3 linked regions of the Pelodiscus sinensis genome follow. The main gene of each other region encodes a partner of the protein of the gene in region 3 in a complex. Links are inferred from orthologs where the notes say so. Each region holds a gene or a part of one and is shown on either strand. Other genes may lie near its edges. The genes, in order: NFKB1, RANBP3 and KPNA4.

Region 1 (6,959 bases), on a different chromosome or scaffold from region 3:
ACAAAATCTTTCTTCAAATATCTTTAAAAAAAAAATCAGCAATAATCTCCTCCTCCCCCCCCCCCTTTTTCTTTTCAAATTACAAAAGTGTGGCTCTAAACCAGAAAAAAATAATCCTTCTTTGGCTAGCAGAATATTTAGAAAAGTAAACAAATTCACACTAAGATTCAAATAATCTCAGAATTGAAAACAAAACGGTCACATTCTTCACCCATTATATCAATTTTATGAAGTGACATTGCTGCACATCTGGGATACTGGACTGGAACATCAAACCCTTTAGTATTATCTCAGATTGCTCTTGTTTGGAAGAAAGAGAGATAAAAAGGACTTAAATTTGTCTATTTGTGTTATCTATAATTTTCCTCTCAAACTTTACATTTTAGTAAGTGTGTGTAAGTTTTAACAAAGACTAGTGCCTTTTAAGAGTTACCATTTTTAAATTGAATACTGAAATGTCTTGTTAATCCAATAGCAATACTTAATATGTAAAACATCAATCCTGAAAACTCTTACATGTGTATTTACTTACCCTTGTGTGGGTAAAGTTACTCATACACAGAAGCATTTGGGGGGGGGGGGGGAGGTGAGAATCAAGGCCACAAATTGTAATTCACCTTAATGCAGTCTCCATTTTTTGCAGAAACTATATACTTTTTTTTGTTCACATGAAGACAGTAACTTAATAATCCTCCTTTCATTCATGTCAACAAATATCACTCAATGAAAAACAATGGAGAGTTAAATCCTCTTAGTTTTAGAGAAAAATGTAACAAAATTAATTAGCTATTATTTTCCATCCGTTGCAATTTCATTTTCATCATTTAGTACTGAATATTCCATTTACTGCTTTTGAAAGTATTTAAGTCTGCTGTAGTATTCCCTATATTTAGAATGGCATTACTGAAAGTATCAGAAAAAATCTTTACAGGATTATATTGTTTTATAGTTTTTAAGAGAACCCAACCAATGCAAAATAGTAGAAAACTTGATTTTCTTTCAGATAAAGAGGGAATTTCACATGTGAAATCAAAGGGACATTTGAAAATTGCTGTATTTTAACACTGAAATTTTGAGCCTCTTCTGTAATTACAAAAATCCTGACAAAGTTTTAAAAAAATCTCTCCCTCCTTTTAGTATTTTATGTAGAGTCAGCTTCTCCCTGGCTTACAACCCTTCACAAACATTAATAAAAGAGTAGAAAAAAATATTTTGAGTTTTTCTTTAACAAAAATATCAAAGCATGAAATTTAAAATGGCTCTAACAGAAACTGGAATGTTTGAATTTGCACAATTGAAAAAAAATCAAGTGGACAGTCATCCTTTAAAGAATATCCACCACACAACATCTAAGGATCACACTTTATTAAAAGCCTAGTGAAGTGACCAGTAACACTCCATTTCCAATCCAGTGACTCCATAAATCAATGATGAAGAAAAACAGGAAAGAGAGTAAATGAATCATATTGACGGACTCCCCTGTACAGGTAAGGGGCCTACACTTGGACGCAATGAGGTTTTCAGAACAAGAAACATGCTACACCTGAGCTCTCATTTTGTAATCCCACCTAGGGTTCAGTACGCTACTGTACAGTATGCCAAGCCACATGGGCTCTAGTCTTAGCACAGGCAACACCTGCTGGGCACCTACTGCTTTGGACCTGCACAGAGGGTTTTACCAATAATTCCCCTTCTTTTCTCTTTTGTTTGCTTTTAAAGCTAATAGCCATCCAGCTCCACCATGGAAAAATAGCTCTGTCCCATTTACTGCATATCAGTCTTTTGGATAAGATCTTATCTCAATACAGTAAAACCTGTGTTATCTGGCATGCTCAGGGATTAGGGTGTTCTGGTTATCTAAAAATTCCGGTTATCTGAGGGTCCCATCAACCCAGGAAAACCCAATGGACAATAATAGTAAAACTCAAGTTTTTAACATTGGTAGTTTTATAGTGTGAGGCAGTTGGTCTCACATTTCTATTTTGAGTTGAAGATGATTAGTACTTCTTAAATAAAAAATTGTTAAGCCAATCGTGGTAAACCAAGCCAGGCCTGTGCACCTGCTGATGTGACAATATTGTGGCTGGGGGCAATGCTGGTTACCAAAGTTTTCTGGTTAACAGAGTGCCAGATAACAAAGGTTTCACTGTAATCATGTTCTGTCAATTCTCTGTTGACAGCTGTACAGTTGTTATGAAAGTTGCCATGCCAAGTGTCAAAAGAAGTGGGGTCTGCTTCCTTGCCCTTTGCCAAAATCGCCTCACCTGACAGCACACTGAACTTTATAGCAGGCTACCACCCTTCACCCAAGAGAGAGCTGGACAGTGGCAGGAGAGAGACAGAACAAGGCCAGAGGGGCTTTCAGGAAGAAAGGTGAAATTTCAATAGAAAACATTATTCTTCTCCCTCACACCCCTCCCCAACCCATACACTCCCAATCAGCTTCTTTTTTTCATTACAAACCCAATGAGGCCAAAATCTGCTGTCAGCTCTACCAATCCGGAGTCACTCCGCAGTGGTACCGCTTCGGCCACGCCGCGCTGCACCTGACAGGCGTGAAGCTCAAGCCGTTTCACAGGCACGACGGACGGGCAGCCCGACCAGGAAGGAGGAAGTGAACCAGCTGGCGAAGGTTTAAAAAGGCACCAGAGGGACTCCGGCCCCGCCAAAGACCCGACACCGAATTCCGTGCTCACCCTCACGCCGGAGTCTCCCCCTTAGCCCCGCTCCTCCTCCGGGCGGGACGCGCCCCGGTGCTCCGGCAGGGAGGGCGAGCCCCGCTCCGGGCAGCCGCTCTGCCTTGCGCTTCGCTGCCGCTTGCCGCCGCCTTTTGCCGGAGTCAGCGCGGCGCCATGTAAACCAGGCTGCGAAGCGGAGCGGCCGCCTAGTCCTCCTCTCCTGTGCAGCCGCCGCGCGGCGGGGTTTTCCCCCTTGTTTGGGCGTGCGCCCCGGGCGGCTCCGTCCCACGGACCTGTCAGCAGCTGCCCTTTCGCACCAGCAGCCTCCTCTGACTCTCTCTCCGTCCCTCCCCTGCTGCTGCTGCTCTCACTTCCTTCCTGGCTGGAAATTCCCACTGACGTTTCGAGAGCGAAGCGGCGGCAGCCGCCGCGGAAGGGTGGGGAGGCTGCGCACGAGAACAAGGCGCTCCAGGGGTGCCTGTGGGGAGCGCAGGTCACTGCTGCCTTCTAACAGGCGGAGCCAGGGCAGGGCTTTGCTGTGGAACCAGCTGGGAGCGAGGATTTGAGTTGGGGAAGCTTTGTGGAAACATTCAGCTTTATTACTTGTATTACAGTGGCAGCCAGGGAGACTAGACAGGCTAGTGGCCCATGGGGCAGTACAACGGAGATACACACTAGCCAAGGGCTGCCCTAATCCCGAGGAATTTACACTGCACCTTAGTGAAATACACAAAGCAAAATCTTCTCCCAACCCAGACACACCCCCAGCAGGGCCAGTGTTAGACTCACTGGGACCAAGGGCAGAAACCAAGGAGTGGGCCTCCACCATGAGCCCCACCACCTATAACTTAGCTTCTTAGGCAACTGCCCTGCTTGCTACCCCTAACACCGACCATATGTGCTAGAGACAAACTGCTCTCTCCCTTCCAGGAAGAAACTTGTAACAAATCCTTAGAGAGCAGGATCTGTCCTCCATGGAAGCAGGGGCTACACCCATGGACAGAGAGAAAAATCGTCCAATCTAGAGGGAGATAGTTGAATACGGGAACCTTGTATTTTTACCGAAAATTCCCATTGTTGCTAACATCAGTTTATCGGTTCCAGTCGTTATCCCGTAGCAGTTAAAAGTAGATTATTTGATTAACAGGGTCTTGAAAACAGCCACTCAGCAAAAGCAAAGCTCTTGAGGCATCCATCCTCCTTTTCTATATGCTTGCATAGCATCTCGGACCTCAGAGCCACAGGTTGGCTGGCCTATGTTAAATAATACACCAAAGCTACCAAGGGAAGAGAATTGGGCCCAAGTCTCTGTAGGAAGTTCAATATAAGTCTAAAATGTAGGGTTCCAGCCAATAGGAGCTGAGAGTTTTTGCTAGTGGGTAAAGGCAAAATCGCCTTCCGTCTGATAGTACACTGTTCTTTATAGCTAGCTACTACTCTTCACCTAAGCCGGAACTGAAGCAGGAAAGCTATATGAATAAAATTGTGAATAAGGTTGCCAGTTTTGATTGGACATATTCTTGGAGGTTTCATCATATAACAATCTTTAATTCCTGGAGACTTCACAATACTCTTGGAGGGGTTGAATATGCTAGAGGTGGATAGACATTTTAATGGAGAGGGAGTTCTGTAGAAGATTGGTTGCAAAGGATAAGATCTGGTTATCCACTCCCTTTGACCTTGTATAGTCATTCACATTCGGCATAGTGGGTGTAATACATGGTCATTTTGATTTGGAAGTACAAAGTGTACATAAGGGGTAAGGCAATGAAGAATCAGGTCCTAGTTTGTTTGCTGTTTAAAAAAAACATTAAATCAAGGCAAATGGGAGCCAGTGAAGGAATCTGAACAGAGCAGTAGCATGTTGAGTGGTAAGAGAATAATGGAAAAAGGAAAATATTTTAGTAACTGTCTTTTTTCTGTGCTTGTACAGCTGCCAATGAAATTGGATCCTAGTCACCTATCTGTGATGTTATGATAATACAAATAATAAAAATGATAGCAACAGCCTTTTGAATGGACTAAAGAGGCGCAAGAAAAACAGCTGATAGACCAGAGAGAAGGTTTCAAAGAAGGTAAGAGATGACCAGTACATGGAGGAGTGTTTTAATGGAAAGGAAACTCTGGTGAGACAAGAAAAAGAACATCCTGACACACACACGGAAATGTTAATAGAACTTTGTAACATTCTGGCAATCTGTGCTAAACTGAACAATTCAAAGAGCAGCATGAAAGAACCCACGTTGCTTTATGCAATGGTTGTTGTTTTTTCTGATGTACAGGAGAATGAGGGGCAACTAGTTTGGCAGGTCATATTTGTTTTTCTTGCTGTTATGGTCTGAGATTCTGGTGGAGGTGGAACTAATTTCGGTGCTGCATATTGTAATTTCTGTCTTTCCTATTGATGGGTCCCAAAGGTTTTTTAGAATGTTGATGGATATTATAATATATTCATAATGATTCTCACACAATTTAATAAATGCTCTACAGTAAATAATGTTAAATTCTGTGTTGCACACATATACAGTACATGTACTCATTCTCATTGCAGATTTAACTATAAATCTGCGAGGCAGCGCCAGTTGATTGGCTTCCCATGGGGTCCAGAAAATCTTCCATACAAATGATGGGGACTACTCAGAAAAAACAGTCTGGGCTGCTTTCACTTAACAATCCAGCTCCGGCTGTTCCTTCATTTAACATAATTTACAGTATGATCTCAAAGCGTACAGCACCACATTTCCAAAAGAGTCACAGTGAAAAAACAGTGCATCACAAGCAAATATCTTATGGAGAGAAAGTTCATAAGGCAAGTAGTGTCACAACAAGCTTGGGAATAAATAGGATTCTAGTCTGTTCTTTAGAAGCTAGAGACTAGACTATGATCCCTTTTTTTTGCTGGTGATCAATTTACTATTTAACCCTTCTGCCACTGAAATAAAGGGATTTTTTGTCATAGAGTTCATTGAGGTCACATTCTTGCTAGTTCACTAGCCTGCTATACCCTCAGTACTTGTTCTCACTGGACCATGATTAATAATGGACCATGTTCAGTAGCCCTACTAGTGTGGTTCAAGACAGCTGTCTCACAACCCTCATTTGCACCTTTGCAAGCTAGGGCACATCCTGAGCAGCCCACTTCTCATCTGTGTCTGACTCAGACCATTAAAAGCTGAGCAAGAATGACTCTCTAGTGGGTAGGGCACTCACCTGGGAGGAGAGACACAGGGTTCAGTCCTTCCTATTTCCAAGCACTCCCTAATTATGTATCCACGGAGGTACAACTTCAGCAGGAGACACTATAAAGGAGCAACACATCAGAGTATCCCATAACTCAGGCACTCTCCTATTAAAATCCTTTCTTAAGGTTGTGTCTCCCATCTCCCAAATGAGAACTTTAAGCCTGGGAATAAAAGTTAGAAGGTGGGAAGCAGCAGAAATACCACCACCAACTCTTGCTTTTTACAGAACAAGGCAGTTAACTAATGCCCCAACACCACCCCAACTTCCAGAGAGTTCCCATTCATGGAGTTCCCTAGAGCTGCCAACTTGGTTAATGATTAAAACAGAGTTAACTGATGGGGAGGGCCACAAAAGGAACATCGGCCAAGTGACTGTCTCCCCCCATGACTCCTCGCCAGGCCACTGTCCCTAGGCTTGGGACAAACCCCACATCCACTCCAGGTCCCGCTCCTACCCTGCTTCTTTCCATACCTGCCCTGTTCATTCCTCCAAGCTTCCATCCCTCCTTGCTGGGGCCCAGAGTGGGGCCGTGTCTCTGGGAAGGGGGACACATACAGGGTTGCAGGATGTGCGGGGTTGGCAGCCAAGGCTTGGGCGGCAGCTAGGACTCTGCTCTCTGGCCCCACTGGCTGCTGGTCCCTTGCCCCCCCCGTTTGAGGGACATGCCTTTGTGCCCACACACACACACCTGTTTTAAAAACTGGACACTCCAGCAGGACTACTAGAACCGGCCTGGCCCTGCTCATTCCCTTTTGGAGGTCCTACCCTATTACTCTTCACTTTCCCCAACACACATTGCTTCCCCCCGCCCCCATCACCCACCATCTGGGTCAAAGGGACTCACCTGTGGAACCAGAGTATTAGCTGTAGCCACCTGATGCAAGTAGCAGGCAGCCGGCAGTCCTGGCCAAGTAGGGGCTGACATGAGTGATGGCCCAGCGCCTCCCTGCTTCCAGTAATTGGCTGTTGGGTCCCCTTTTCAACCAGATGTTCCAGTTGAAAACTGGACACATGGATTACTAACAGAAATAGGCATCT
Region 2 (7,301 bases), on a different chromosome or scaffold from region 3:
ATGACTCCAAGATCTCTCTCGAGTAGTTATAACTAACGTATTATCAGGGCTCGACAAACCACAGCAAAATCCACTCACCAGCCCCGCACATGCGCCAGACCTGCACTGCACATGCGCGCACCACCAGTGAACGGGGCGACCACTGTAATCTACTCGCCATGGGCGAGTAGATACACAGATTTGTCAAGCCCTGCATATTATCATAATAGATATATTCATGCAATTTATTTCCAAGAATACAAAAGCAGGGTGAAAATTGGAAAAAATTAATAGTTTTTATAAAATGCAGGAGAGTTTAGTAAAACTCAATTTAAATTTAAAATAAAGGGACGTAGTTATAAAGTACCATGGAAAGCTATACTGCTTCCTATCACAAGCATCTTCATACAAATCAATCTGGAAAGTTTGTTAGAGGAGAATTCATGAAAATAAGTGTTGATGAGGACTAATCCAGTTATCTCAAAAAAGAGACATTATGGTAGTACCTAGAAGCAATAGTCATGGAAGAAAACCCCATTATATTAGGCACTGAATAAATACAAAACAAAACAACAGACCCTACCCCTAAAGAACTTACAACCTAAGTATAAGATAAGCCAAAATAGATATAGACAGAGGGGTGCAAGGAAACTGCAAGGCAAAATTGGACACGATAGGCAGTTGCCTCAGGCCTCTCAGCGGCCTAAAAGATGTCAAAAGTTTTGTACACTGAAAGGAGAATCTCAAAGAGAATTCTGAATGAGATTAATGGGATAACTTAGCGCATATTTACAAGGAGTTCCTCTGAGCATGAGGAAAAGTATGGAAGAAGGCACAAAGGTCTTATTTTAATCTTTTAATGAGTGTGTGATGGAGGCTGGCATCATGGCTAATCAAAAGTGTAAATCTACATGTCAGTCAATGTGAGATGACTGGTGTGGTGGGAACACACCATGAAGGGCCTTGAAGGTAAACATAAGTAAATTTTGTTTGAGGCAACAGAGAAGAGGAAGCCAATGAAAGGATGCAAGGAGAATGTGACAGGATAAGAGAATGACTTTGTTGCAGCCTCTATCAGAGGCAGGCAGCAAGGGGGGGAAGCAGGAGATGATGTTGGGGGGAAGCCAGCGTGAAAGCCAGTTTCCCCCAGCACCATCTCTGAGGGGGACAGGGGAGATAAAAGCACACTGGCAATGGTGCAAGCAGGGACTGAAGCATTCTCTACTAGCGCTGCTTCTGCTGCGATTCTGCTTTTCAAATGTACAAGAGCCCCAACTCTTTCATGTTATGAAAGTTTTCTGTCTATCTTCCACTTGGGAGATACACATTAAAACTATGTCTACACAACACACCTTATAGCAGTGCTGAATCTGCATAGTTATAAGGTGCACTGAGTGGCCACTCTTTACTGCTGGGAGAGATGTTTTCCAGTGACAAAGTAAAACCACCTCCAACAAGCAAAGGTCCCACTGAACAAAGCACTATGCAAGCAGACACTTTTCATCAATTAATTGTTTTTTGTTTGGGTGGTGGAAGGCAAGGTTTTCCACATTTTTGTTTGGGTGTTAGGGGGCAAGGTTTTCCACATTTATTGGAAAACTTGTGTCATTTGGGTAAGTGCCAGTGTAGATAAAGCCTAGGACCTCTACATGGTATGCCATTCTCTCTTAAAGCTCCCAAGGAAGAATTAATAAAACCAATTTCCCTGCCCTCACAAAATTATGGCTATACAAAAGATACCTAAATTTTCTCTAATCTTGCAAGGCATATTCTTAGCCAACTGCTAGACATAAATACACAGCATTAACAATGGGAATTTTACAGCTCCCTTAAATAGGCATGCCAAGAAGGGACATGCTACCTGAACACTGCATAAAAAGGGGTGACATATAAGGAGGCACCTAGCCCCAAACAGGAAAGAGAAATACTGAGCTTGCTTTTCACATTTTGGGGTTCAAGTGATAATTAAACAAGAGGCAGCTCCCACAGGTCTCTTCCTTTGCCACCATTGCCTCACAGTTTTTCACCATGAACAAAATAAGGTGACTAATGGGAACATAGAGGGATGCTCTGTTCACATTCGGAACACACACAGGGTATGTACCTGCCAAGCTAGATAGGCTCACTAGAAAAGGATTTGACAGGAATCAGAGGAGTAGCTGTGTTAGTCTGTATCCACAAAAAACAAGGAGCCCTGTGATAATTTAAAGATGAACCGGTTTGCTCAGGCATAAGCTTTTCTGGGCAAAGACATGCAGCTTGAGGAAGGGGGCCCTTGACCACAAGTGCTTATACCCAAATAAATCTGTTAGTCTTTAAGGTGTCACAGGACTCCTCCCTGTTTTTACAAAGGGATGCGGTTCTGTCCCACGCTGAAGGCTGCAGCAGGAAAGGAGTAGCTTTGCTCCTGACGCTGGGCAGTAATAAATAACACACGCCTCTCTCTTAGCGCCTGGCCCGCACAGCCTGCACCGACAGGCCCGGGCCCACGCCCAGCCCCACTTCCGTCACCCCCATGCTCACGCCGATGCCCCCCAAGGTGCTCGCTGCAGGGCGGGTGTCGGTCGGCTCCCCCCGGACTGGGGGGCGGGGAAACAAGACGGCCCCACTTAGGCCCAGCCTCTCCCTTTGTCCAGTCCGTTCCCCTGCGGTGGCCGGCACTGAGGCAGGCGGCAGGGAGGAGCAACTCCCCTACGGGGCCCGTGGAGCTCTTCCTGAGGCGAATGCCAGGCCTGCTTCGGCCCGCGGCCCAAACCCCGCCTCCGCACAACCGCGATAACGGCCACATCCCCCCCTACCTTCGTTCGCTAAATCCGCCATTTTACTTCCTCAATCACTCCCACAGTGCATCGCGCGGCCGGCCGGCCTCCGATTTACAACAGACACAGCGCGGCGGCGCATGCGCGCAGTGTCCCGCAAGGGAGGGGCTCTCCCGCCGTCAAGCGGGAGAGACTGCGCATGCTCCGAAGAACGTTTCTTTTTTTTTTTTTAACTCCCTTCCGCCTCACAGGGTTTAGTACGCATGCGCTAAAAGCAAAGGCTTCGTTCCGCCGCTCGCGGTTAGACAAACAGTGCGCCTGCGCCAAACCCACCCGCTCCGCCCGTTGCAGGACTAGCAGAGCCTCTTGGGTGAGGGGAGCGGAGTCAGCGCTGCAGGAGCCTCACGGGGCATGCGCACAACTGCACGCGCCACATTTCATAAAACCCACCTGTGACAACAAAGCATTGTCCCTTCCCCCCGCGTCGGGAGGTTGGGGGCGGTGGCTCAGGGGTGTGAGCACCCGGCTCCAGACCTGTCAGCCCTTACTGCCTCGTTCCCACCCCCCACCCCCCTCAGTCCTTCACCGCCACCCTCCTCCACAGCCCCCTTCCCGCCGCCTCAGCCCTTCACCGCCACCCCCCTCAACTGCCCCCTTCCCGCCGCCTCAGCCCTTCACCGCCACCCCCCTCAACTGCCCCCTTCCCGCCACCTCAGTCCATCACCGCCACCCCCCTCAACTGCCCCCTTCCCGCCGCCTCAGTCCATCACCGCCACCCCCCTCAACTGCCCCCTTCCAGCCCCCTCAGTCCTTCACCGCCACCCTCCTCCACAGCCCCCTTCCCACCCCCTCAGTCCATCACCGCCACCCTCCTCCACAGCCCCCTTCCCACCCCCTCAGTCCATCACCGCCACCCTCCTCAACTACCCCCTTCCAGCCCCCTCAGTCCTTCACCGCCACCCCCCTCAACTGCCCCCTTCCCGCCGCCTCAGTCCATCACCGACACCCTGCTCCACAGCCCCCTTCCCGTCGCCTCAGTCCATCACCGACACCCTCCTCCACAGCCCCCTTCCCGCCCCCTCAGTCCTTCACCCCCACCCTCCTTCACAGCCCCCTTCCCGCCCCCTCAGTCCTTCACCCCCACCCTCCTCCACAGCCCCCTTCCCGCCGCCTCAGCCCTTCACCGCCACCCTCCTCCACAGCCCCCTTCCCGCCCCCTCAGTCCTTCACCCCCACCCTCCTCCACAGCCCCCTTCCCGCCCCCTCAGTCCTTCACCCCCACCCTCCTCCACAGCCCCCTTCCCGCCGCCTCAGCCCTTCACCGCCACCCTCCTCCACAGCCCCCTTCCCGCCCCCTCAGTCCTTCACCCCCACCCTCCTCCACAGCCCCCTTCCCGCCCCCTCAGTCCTTCACCCCCACCCTCCTCCACAGCCCCCTTCCCGCCGCCTCAGCCCTTCACCGCCACCCTCCTCCACAGCCCCCTTCCCGCCGCCTCAGTCCTTCACCGCCACCCTCCTCCACAGCCCCCTTCCCGCCGCCTCAGTCCATCACCGACACCCTCCTCCACAGCCCCCTTCCCGCCGCCTCAGTCCATCACCGCCACCCTCCTCCACAGCCCCCTTCCCGCCGCCTCAGTCCATCACCGCCACCCTCCTCCACAGCCCCCTTTCCGCCGCCTCAGTCCTTGAATTCCTTGAAAGTAGGAATAAGGGATATCCCGGAAAAGGGCTTATTTTCCGGAAAATCGCGTCTACACTGGCGCTTTTCTCCGGCAAAAACCCCGCGGATTTGCAATTCCGAAGTGTCTCATTAGCATCCCTTTTCTGGAAAGGGATGCCAGTGTAGACACAGCCGTAGAGTCTGCCAAATGCTATTATTGTGCTTCATTAACAATAATCCTGGCCTATGTTCCAATTGTCTGTACAGAGCTGAGATGGCACACAGAGGGAACACACACACACATAGCCAAATATCTATCCCCCCCAAGGTTCACTGAACTCAGCAGTACGGGGATGAGATTTCAGGAGGTCACGTTTCAAGGAATTAAATATCCTTGGTACAAACTTTGATGTCCTTGTTGAAACAGTGCTTCTGTTACAGCTAGTGGAAGGTTTGAACTAGACAGAAGTTTGTCTTCTCCATAAAAGGGGTGAGCAACAGCCATAGAGACTGTTCCAACTCTTTGAATGAGTAACTACAAAGCTACTGGTCAGACCAGTGGCCTGAAAAGGAGGCTTTCTCTCCCATTTGTCCTCTGATCATCCCTATCCCACAACAGAGGTATCAGGTTAGGAGCTGGGAAGATTATTTGGTTCTAAATTCACACAAAATTTAACTACAGTAAAACTCCAGTGGTCCAGCATCCAATGGTCCCACACTCCTGATGGTCTGGCACCATCTGGAACCCAGAAGTGCTCAGGGCAGCCGGACAATTGGAGCTGCTCTGCCCCCGGCTTCCCTGATTCAGCCGCTGCTGAAATTGACCAGCGGCTGACTCCAGGAAGCCGGAGGCAGAGCAGCTCTACCCCAGGCTTCCCGGAGTCAGCTGCTGGTCAGTTTCAGCAGCATCTGACTTGGGGACGCCGGGGGCAGAGCAGCTGGGGTGCTGCCGGGTTGGTCCCCTAGCACCACCCCTCGGCGCTGCGGGACCAACCCGGCAGTACCCCAGCTGCTCTGCCCCGGGCTTCCTCGAGTCAGTCACTGGTCAGTTTCAGCAGCGGCTGACTTGGGGACACCTGGGGCAGAGCAGCTGGGGTGCTGCTGGGTTGGTCCTGCAGCGCCGAGGGGCACATCCCCCACACTCCGCCCCAGACCCCTTATGCCCCCCCCCCCTTCTGATAGTCCAGCATATTTGATAATCCGGCACCCCTTGGGTCCTAAAGGTGCCAGATTATTGGAAGTTTACTGTATTATAGGGGTTGGGGAAGCTGACACTTTCCATTATGAAGAATTTTTGTGATCTGTTCTTCACTTCCATTGTTTGCAGCAGGTATTTGGCAGGGAGAACAAATATCAGGTATTGCTGAGATACACAATGAAATCACCATTTTCTTTCCCTCCTGTTCCTCAGGGAAATTTGTCAGCCTGTCAAAATAGCAGCTAAGCACACATTCTAGGCCAGACTCACACCACTATTAGACTAATAGCAACAGGAGCCACTACAGTGGGAATACATGGGTACTCCCAGAGCAGTGGTAGGATGAACAGAAGGAGAATGGGCTTTCTGATGGGGCACACTAACCTCTTGTGAGCACCCCCTGTTGGATGGATGTGAACCCTCACTATTTCTGTGCTCAAAGTATCCTCTATTATAGGGCTCTTCATGTGGCCCACAGCCTGTGGCTACGTCTAGACTACATCCCTTTTTCGGAAAAGGGATGTAAATTAGACGTATTGCAATTGCTAATGAAGCGGGGATTTAACATGTGGCCCGCGGGTGGGAGCCAAAACAAGAAAGTAGGCAATATAATGGTCTTCTGTTGATATGTGTTTTAGTAGTTTAATGAGCAATGACAGTCCAGGAATTTAAAATACTGTCATTAGAGTTGCCAGGTGTCCGGTATTGATCCAGACAGTCTGGTATTTTCACCTCCTGTCCGGTAAAAAAATTCAGAAAATACCAAACACCTAAAAAAACATTTCCCTGCCAGGAGGCGAAAATACCGGACACCTGGCAACTCACTCAGCAATTGGGCCCAGCCCCCCGCCTCCCTTCTGCCAGGCTCCCCCACTTACCTGGTTCTGCAGGGGCTTGTCTTGTGCCTGGCAGAAAAACAAAATGGCCACCGGCAAAAAAGCCTCTTCTTAAATGGGCCATGCTGATTTTTATTTTTTAATAACTGCTGTCCTTTTATTTTCTCAACAGAATTTTTTTCCCGGTGTTTTTTTGGGGGAGAGCGGGGGTCTGTATTTTTGGTTAAACCATCTGGCAACCCTAGCTGTCATATGGATGGAAATCGGGTAAATATTGCATTTTATTAATATCAGCAGAACTGACTTAAATGGGGCCTGTGTTTTGTGCAATCTTGCCTTGACCTTTGTATTCATGCCTGTCAATGCGAAATATGCAACCACACTTAAGTTGCGGCCTTCGGCATGTTCTGTGAGTATCATTGTGACCCTTGGAGCTTCCAAAGTTGAGTAGCCCTGCTCTATCAGTTGTTGCCCTCATCAGGTGAATCTTCAGGGGCTCTTTCCTTTGGCTGACACACATAGTCTAAAATGGATGACTCCCTTCCAGAGTAGCAAAGGTTCAACAACGCCTATCATAATGCCCTTGTTGGAACTGTTATTCTACCCTGGGTTAGGTTCTTAGCCCCTTCTGGACTGGCTTTAAATCTATCCCTACCACATTATAAACCAGCACACTCAGGACTTCCTCCCTGGAGATCTTAGCCTTTAGCTGTTCTCTGGTGTCCCTTAAATACTTTCACTTGAGCCTCTAATCAAGCTTTATCTTCTCCTCAGGACATAGGCCACTTCACCACGCCTGTGAGGGAATCCAGACACACCCACTACTCCCAACCCAGGGACTCTACAAGTAGAAATCACATCTTGCTTCC
Region 3 (7,627 bases):
GACTACTAGAATAATCAAATACTGATTTATGTGAAGGGAAGAGGTTTTTTTCTGCAAAAATGCAAGATAAAAAAAATCAACTGTTGCTAAAGCTTGACTAAATACAGCCATTACCAATATTTCATGCTGTAATGAAAAAATGTGATGTATAAACAATGAATCAGAATGATAGTCACACAAGCCTGAGCTACTATTTGAAAAATGATCATCCACAGTAGTTATTTTAAGTACTGAGCATATGTTCCAAGATCTGTTAGAGAGATGTCAGTCTCTAAAATTTAACAAGACTTAACAGCTTAACAATGTTTTCATTTTGCAAAATGCTACCTTAACAGCAAACCAAAAAACACATGGATGGCACATAGCCTACCAGAAATACAATAATGTTTAAAGGTAATAAACTCTACAGTATTACATATGTCAGTAAGACCTCAGCCAAATTTTTTGGTTTTATTTTAAAATGTTTCTCTCAAACAAGAAAAATAATGCCTATAAAATGCCTAAAAACAAAGAAGGCAGGAGAAATATTTTCAAATGGTTTCAATAATAGTTATCTTACAGGTTACTTGAAACAAATATAGGAAAAAAGTCCTCTCTTAAGAGGGTGATCTTCAAATCAGTGTGTGTCTTTAAAATTTCATCAATAACTAAAACTAAACAGGCTATCATCCAAATTATAAAAGTCTTATTTTTGTGGGAAGGATTCAGGATTAACATATGTATAGCAGGGATGTTAAATTTAGATTAATGGGCTAATCCAGTAGTCGGTGCAATTTGCATTGACTATTCCAGTAATCAATAAGGGCATCTCCACTTCTGAAGTGTAGTAACAGCACCAGGATTGTTGCTACACTTTAAAAGTGAAAGCACTGCGGGGAACATGGGGCCAGCAGGGGACTCAAGCAGTCCCCCATTGACCCCAAGCTCCCTGCAGTATTTCAAAGTGGCAGCGCCGCATGGAGCCTGGGGTCAGCAGGGGAGTCCCCAGCTAGCCCTGGGCTGCACGGCGTTTCAAAGCAGCAGCTCCGCGTAGAGCCCAAGGTCTGGCCTGGGCCCTATGCAGCACTGCCACTTTGAACCATCCCCTTTTCTTCCTCTCTCCCACTTGCTTATCGGACAGTTGACTAGTCATTCACATCCCTAATGTATAGTATGAGTTTAGAGAACCTACATTAAAATGCAAAGTTTAGGCATCCAACACAGCAGTGATTTAAGAGAACTTTGCATTATACTTTTCCATATAAAATAATATACAGAAGAGAATGAAGTATGAGGTTTGTTTTAAATAAAAACCTTCACAGCACCACTTCTGGAATTATAATACACCCTGTGCTTTTGTTTTTAGTATTTGGAGAGCAGCCAGCAAACAGCTCAACGGGGAAGGTACTTTTACACAAAGACAGCAGAACCCCATTTAACTAAGTCCTTTAATATTAAACTAATCTTTTATTTCCTGCATGCTTTACTCTCTCTTTCATTATCTGTCAATCCCAAACATTTCAGGTAAAGTTATACCGATATACTCAACCGAGTTCAAAACCTAGATGTTGGATCCTGGATTATTCCTTCATGCACAGGTAGAAAAGATTCCTTCCCCATGCCAATCAGTGAAAGAGAGCAACTCCATCCTTTACTTTCAAAAGCCAAGTTCTTCATGCCTTTGTGTCATCTCAACATTAGATTACACTATGCTCTACCACATCTTAAACCCATTCAGAAACTGAAGTTAGAGCAGAACACAAAGACCCACTTAAGTGGTTTTTTATGCAGCTAATACATTATGCCAGTGTTCTGGGATCTTACCTGGCTCCCAGAAGTTTGTGTGGAGTTCAAGGTGCTGACTTTAGAGACTGCTTTATGAAAAAAACATGAATTGCATAGGACTTGCTTACTTGACTAACTGTCTCTGTCCCATATGAAATTGTTAAGCTGTGGGAACTGCTGCATCAAAGGAGGACCAACTGCAGGACATTTTCCAATAAGGGTCTTCTTTGGCCTTCACTGCCATAACTGGGAAAAGCCATAACCTGAATGTGTTAGCCAAGCTATAAACCAAAACGGTTTTCATTACTATCTGGGAAGTGGATGACTGATGGTACTTGACCCCCTATTGCAACAGTGCCAAACCAAAGTGAGGTTGTACAAAAATATATTAGACTGCACTTGACTGTTTCTATAGTGCTGTAGCTGCACTTATGTTAATTCCATCAGTTTATATTTTGCATTTCAACTATGTACTGGCCTGCAGATACTCTGAAGAAAAAAACATAACCCGTACTAGGAAGGGCTAACAGTCAGCAGAACTCCGTTCATGTCAATAGCCACCAGTTTCTTACAGAGAAAATGACGACAAAGACCCCCGTGCCTCATAGCCACACACCCGTCAGCGTCCTCCCCGCTCCTCTCCCTGGTGTACAGCAAAACCAAGGGAGATAGCCACAGAAGGGAAATGCCGAAAGGCGTTAACTCCGCTGTCAGTGCAGACACTCCCCACTCCGGGCGGGCAGCCGCCCTCAGCCCCAAAGCTGTCCGAGGGTGGGAAGGAAAGGCAGCCTCTTCCCGGCAGGGGAAACGCAGGGCTCACTCAGCTCGTCCGTCCGCCCACCCCACCCAAGTAGCGCCCCTGCCCTCGTGAGGAGAAAGGGGAAGACACTCCCTCCCCTCCACAGCGGCGGAGCAGGCCTCAGCCTCGGAGCAGGCCCTCGGCTGATGCAGCAGCAGGAAGGCGGTTGTGCCGGAAGGGGGATTAGGAGAGACGCCAGAGCTCGGCGGCCCAGTCCCGCCGCCATGCCCGGCCCTTCCCGCGGGGTGCTGTGGGAGCTACCTCCAGGTCGCGGCCTTTGTTCTTGAAGTTCTTCAGCCGTTGATTATCCAGTTTCTCGTTGTCGGCCATGGCGGGAGAGAAGGAGCGCGGCCTCCTCCCGGGCCTGCCGGGATCCCCTGCCCGGCGCCGCCGCCGCCTCGCTCACTCGCACTCTCTTCCCGTCCGCGCTGCGGCCTGCGCCACTAGGCCGCCACTGCCGCCTCCGCACTTCCTGCCTTCCTTCCTTCCGGCCGCTCGCGAGCTCCGGCTGCCTGGGCGCCGGAATGTGCCGGTAACCAGCAAAGGGACAGAGCCGAGGGCGGGGGAAAGGAGGAGGTAGCCTCGATCTAGCAGGAGCTGGCCGAGGCTACGCCCACCCCTCTCTGCCGCGCCCTCCGATTGGCTGGGGAGGGGCGGGCCGGCGGCGAATGGGAGAGACGAGCGTGGAGGGAGGGCCGCGCTGTGGGAGGAGAGCGGGGCGGTGGCGAGCAGGGGACAGGGTAGGACGAGGCGCCGAGGGCAGGCAGGGAGATGGAGTTTCCTTCACGGCAGCCAGCGGGGTGCCCCCCTGACCCCTGCGCCGGGCAGCCATTTTGCGCCCCACGCTGTTAGAGCCGAGGGGCGCCCTGCCCGCCCTTTCCGGCAGCGGCTGCTGCCGTTGTTGACACAACTGAAAGTCGACAACAACGTGCGTCACCGCCTTCCTCCCTCCCCCTCGGCTGCTGCGCAGACGCTGGGGGCTGTGGAGGCTTCTCGGGGCACGAGACCGCTGCTGGGGGAAGGAGGCTGCAGGGGCTAGCAGCTGCTGGCTTAGTATTCTCTGTAGCTGTTAACAAGAGGTTTCTCTGCGTTTCTCGCCCTGCACTCGTGCAGAAACCAGCACCAGGGTAGGGGCGCTCAGCTTTCACTGCTGCTTCTTTTTCCTAACGCTGAATCGCTTCTTGTGTCTGCATCTACCTCCCCATCAACTGTGCACCCCCCAGTCCACCTCCTTCAGTCACGGTGGGATTCATGTGAGACTGGAATAGGAGTTCCTTGGAGTCAGTAGATACCTTGAGCCCAGTTGGGTGACTAGGGCTAAGAAGTCTCAGAGGTAGCTATGTTAGTCTGTAAGTGGGGAAAAAAAACTTAAAAAAAAACAACTAGGGTTGCCAGATGTCCAGTTTTGACCTTTCTGTCTGGGAAACAAATTGAGAAAATACTGGACATATAAATGTCTGGTATTTTCTAATTACGTTTTATTATCATCACTGGGTGAGTGTGTATACCAGCCAGGCAATACGCAACTACACAGTAGAGAGGAGGGAGCTGGGGCGGGGCCAAGGTAGGATGGCATCCTCAGGGCTGGATTTCCTTGTGCTTCACCAGGATTCACCGCAAGTTCCACCCCTGCTTTGCCTCCTCCAGTCCTGTTTATACCTCTTTCCCGAAGTCCCCTTCCCAGAGCTATGTGACCCAAGGGATTATGAGGGAGTGTAGCACGGAGTGGCAACGGGTCGCTCCCTCCTCTGTAATATAACGATTCAGTCTAGTCACTGCTGAGAGAGTATTGGATTAGAGCGATTCTTTTAGAACCAGAGCAATTTACAGCCCAAGAGTGAGGTCCTTCCCTATAAAGGCACCAGACCAGTCACAAAGAGCACTTCAGTGCCCTGTTTGGCCAGCAAGAAACCTCACAAGGCAAAACCTCTTAGACACCCCAGCGTTCCCTCTGCAACAGTCAGATCCACATACATAGGTGAGAGGTTATAAAACCCAATCTCACCAACTCCAAACAGGTTCTCCCAGTCTCAAAGGACCAGTCACAGTCCCAGGTCAATTTATATCTCAGATCTTACCCAAAAGAGCACACAATGCCAATCCTTTAGAATCTAAAATCTAAGGCTGTGTCTAGACTGGCATGATTCTGCGGAAATACTTTTAACGGAAAAGTTTTTCTGTTAAAAGTATTTCCGCAAAAGAGCATCTAGATTGGCACGGATGCTTTAGTGCAAAAAGTGCTTTTGCGCAAAAGCATCCGTGCCCAATATAGACTCGCTTTTGCGCAAGAAAGCTCCGATGGCCATTTTAGCCATTGAGCTTTCTTGCGCAAAAAATTAAGGTGCCTGTCTACACTGGCCCTCTTGCGCAAGTATTCTTGTACAAGAGGGCTTATCCCTGAGTGGGGGCGTCAAAAAATTTGTGCAAGAAGCACTGAATTCTTACATTGGAACGTCAGTGCTGTTGCGCAAATTCAAGCTGCCAGTATAGATAGCTGGGAAGTTTTTGCCAGTCTAAACGCACCGTAAAGGTTTATTAATGAAAGAAAAGGGTTGAGAGTGAGATTGTTAAAGAGAATACATTACATACATCAATCACCAAGTTCTTGATGCAGGCTCTTAGCAGAGATGTTACAAACTGCTAACTTAAAAGACTCTGGTGTACATCCTGTGTCAGGATGGGTCAACAAATCCTTCCTGGTTCTCTGTCCCTAGCAAGGATGCTTCTGGAATCAGGAGCAAGATTGAAGACAAGATGGAGATGCCCTCATGGTACTTTTGTATTCCTAGTGCCTCCCAAACTGGCATTTGTCACATGATCAAGTGACCTTTCTTTGTCTTTCATGCAAGTAGCCATGATAGACTTGCTCATTTGCAAGTTTCCAAATGCATTCCTCACGTGTATTGGCAACCTTGAGAGCCTCTGTCTATGCAGCATTGCTAATTAGCACAGCCATTCATTGGATAACCACTCCTCACAATATGTCATGGAAGTCCATTGCTGCCTCTCAGATGGAGAACATTTAAATACAAATACAGAGCCTGTATCCATAACATACATACAATAATCATACCAGCATATGAATAACATACTGGTCAGCATAACATAAGCTTTCATTTGACACCTTACACGGCCCACTTCGTACAGAATTTGGAGCAAACACACTAGTGGGTGCAACAATGATCTGCCTCCTCACCCTAAAATCCAATAACGTGACACTCCCTCATACTCACCATGGCAGCAGGAGCCTGAGAAGTGGAGCATCCCGATCTACTTTGCTTCCCAGAACTCTGCATCACTTAGGGGAATAGAGCAAGCTGGGGCTGGAGCACTTTGTTTTCTACCACTGCAGTTAAGAAGAACAACCCAGCTGGGAGATGACAGTAGTACAAGCTCCCGTCTGCTTCACTCTGCTTCCCAGGCTTCTGCCGCCATGGTAAGTGTGGGAGGCCTGGTGGCTGCTGTTGCACCATGCAATCGTGGCTTGACTTCGCGAACGAAGATCTAGGAAATCCACATCTTCTGCAGGCACGCTGGTGGCTGACGAGGCCTATGCGGGACAGGCAGGTCCTGCCACAACGGTTGCAAATATAGGTCTGATCCGAGATAGGTGCTGAGGGGTCACGGTTCTTCTTCCTTCTCCTTTTGTCCTCCATACAGGCCCTGCGGGTATCTTCGAAGAAGGAGGTGGACTGTGTGCCGCCAGGAGTTGCAATCAGCTGCTTGTGTTGCCCACTGATGGTGATCGATACAGCAAGCAGTGAGGGACTTCTTCAGGGAGTCTTTGTACCGCTTTCGTGGTGCCCCTATGTCGCGGTAGCCAGAGGACAGTTCCCCATACAGCACGATCTTGGGTAGGCGATGGTTCTCCATCCTGGTGATGTGCCCTGCCCAGCGAAGCTGTATCTTGAGGACCATGGCCTCGATGCTGGTGACCTCCGCTAACTCGAGGACTTCAGTGTTGGCGACGAAGTCACTCCAATGAATATTGAGGATTGTGCGGAGGCAGCGCTGATGGAAACGCTCGAGGAGACTCAGGTGACTACGGTACGTGACCCAGGACTCAGCGCCATACAAGAGAGTGGTCAGCACAACAGCTTTGTAGACGCTGACCTTCATGTCTCTTTTGAGGTTACTGTTGTTCCAGACACGTTTGTATAGTCTGCCGAATGCACTGTTTGCCTTGGCCAGCCTGTTATCGACTTCTTTGTCCATCTTGGCGTCAGACAAGATCACGCACCCCAAGTAGTTGAACTGGTGGACAACTTTCAGTTCTGTTTGTTCAATGAAGATGCTTGGTGGATGGTGCTCCTCGTGGGGTGCGGGCTGATGAAGAACTTCAGTCTTCTTCAGGCTGACTTCAAGACCGAAGATCTGAGCAGTTTTTGCGAAACAAGACGTAATTCGCTGCATAGCTGCCTCTGTGTGAGCAAGGAGGGCGGCATCATCAGCAAACAGCAGCTCCCTGATCAGTTTCTCCATGGTCTTTGTGTGGGCCTGCAAACGCCTCAGGTTGAACACGCTCCCGTCGAGACGAAAACGGATGTATATGCCATCAGCGTCGTCGAGGTCCTCTGTGACCTGCTGGAGCATGCAATACTCTTCTGGTAATCCCCCAGGCTGATGGCACCACAGGCTCCCTTCAATATGTCCATAAAACAGTCAGGGCAGCTGTCACAGGGTCTCCCAAAGCACAGGGCCAGGAGCGGCTGCCTCAAATCATCCTATGGATAGGATGACCTTGACTGCAGTACCAGACAGTAGTGACCTACAGCGAGCTGGTGCTGAAGGGTAGAAATGAGATGAACTGGGATGGGAAGGGAGAAAGCTTTGTCAAGAAGTTGCAGCAAGGTCAGAGCTACATGCCCTTGACTTCCTGCCATGAAACATTATTAATGTGGCCAAAACTTTACAGCTTCTGGTCGGGTTGATCCCACCTATTAGTGGTCACTTTCATTTACTTCATCCTGCAGTCAGGACTGAAAGATAGATTCATTCTAGCACAGCAGTGGGCAAATGTCAGCCTGCAGGCCTGATCCAGTTTGCCAGGTTTAGCCGCTGTAT

What was found.
Region 1: the proteins of KPNA4 (region 3) and NFKB1 are in contact, whole or in part, in a crystal structure (PDB 7LFC), measured with the Homo sapiens proteins. The link is inferred for Pelodiscus sinensis from reciprocal best matches to the Homo sapiens genes KPNA4 and NFKB1. Residues at the interface, in NP_002259.1 of Homo sapiens: Arg96, Lys97, Leu99, Ser100, Ser101, Asp102, Arg103, Pro105, Phe133, Trp137, Thr140, Asn141, Ala143, Ser144, Gly145, Thr146, Ser147, Thr150, Gln176, Trp179, Gly182, Asn183, Gly186, Asp187, Asn219, Trp222, Val225, Asn226, Arg229, His230; in NP_001158884.1 of Homo sapiens: Glu357, Glu358, Val359, Gln360, Arg361, Lys362, Arg363, Gln364, Lys365, Leu366, Met367.
Region 2: the proteins of KPNA4 (region 3) and RANBP3 are in contact, whole or in part, in a crystal structure (PDB 5XZX), measured with the Homo sapiens proteins. The link is inferred for Pelodiscus sinensis from reciprocal best matches to the Homo sapiens genes KPNA4 and RANBP3. Residues at the interface, in NP_002259.1 of Homo sapiens: Arg96, Leu99, Ser100, Asp102, Arg103, Pro105, Phe133, Trp137, Thr140, Asn141, Ala143, Ser144, Gly145, Thr146, Ser147, Thr150, Glu175, Gln176, Trp179, Gly182, Asn183, Gly186, Asp187, Asn219, Trp222, Val225, Asn226, Arg229, Asp261, Trp264; in NP_015561.1 of Homo sapiens: Asn114, Tyr115, Cys116, Pro117, Pro118, Val119, Lys120, Arg121, Glu122, Arg123, Thr124, Ser125, Leu127.

Annotation. Positions count from the first base shown.
Region 1 is NC_134715.1:24,941,881-24,948,839, reverse strand, and holds the start of NFKB1 (nuclear factor NF-kappa-B p105 subunit), read right to left. Parts: upstream 3,061-6,959; 5' UTR 2,697-3,060; intron 1-2,696.
Region 2 is NC_134729.1:21,071,843-21,079,143, forward strand, and holds the start of RANBP3 (ran-binding protein 3), read right to left. Parts: upstream 3,101-7,301; 5' UTR 2,800-3,100; coding exon 2,778-2,799; intron 1-2,777. UniProt on the Homo sapiens protein: Acts as a cofactor for XPO1/CRM1-mediated nuclear export, perhaps as export complex scaffolding protein. Bound to XPO1/CRM1, stabilizes the XPO1/CRM1-cargo interaction. In the absence of Ran-bound GTP prevents binding of XPO1/CRM1 to the nuclear pore complex.
Region 3 is NC_134720.1:33,022,930-33,030,556, forward strand, and holds the start of KPNA4 (importin subunit alpha-3), read right to left. Parts: upstream 3,081-7,627; 5' UTR 2,894-3,080; coding exon 2,825-2,893; intron 1-2,824. UniProt on the Homo sapiens protein: Functions in nuclear protein import as an adapter protein for nuclear receptor KPNB1. Binds specifically and directly to substrates containing either a simple or bipartite NLS motif.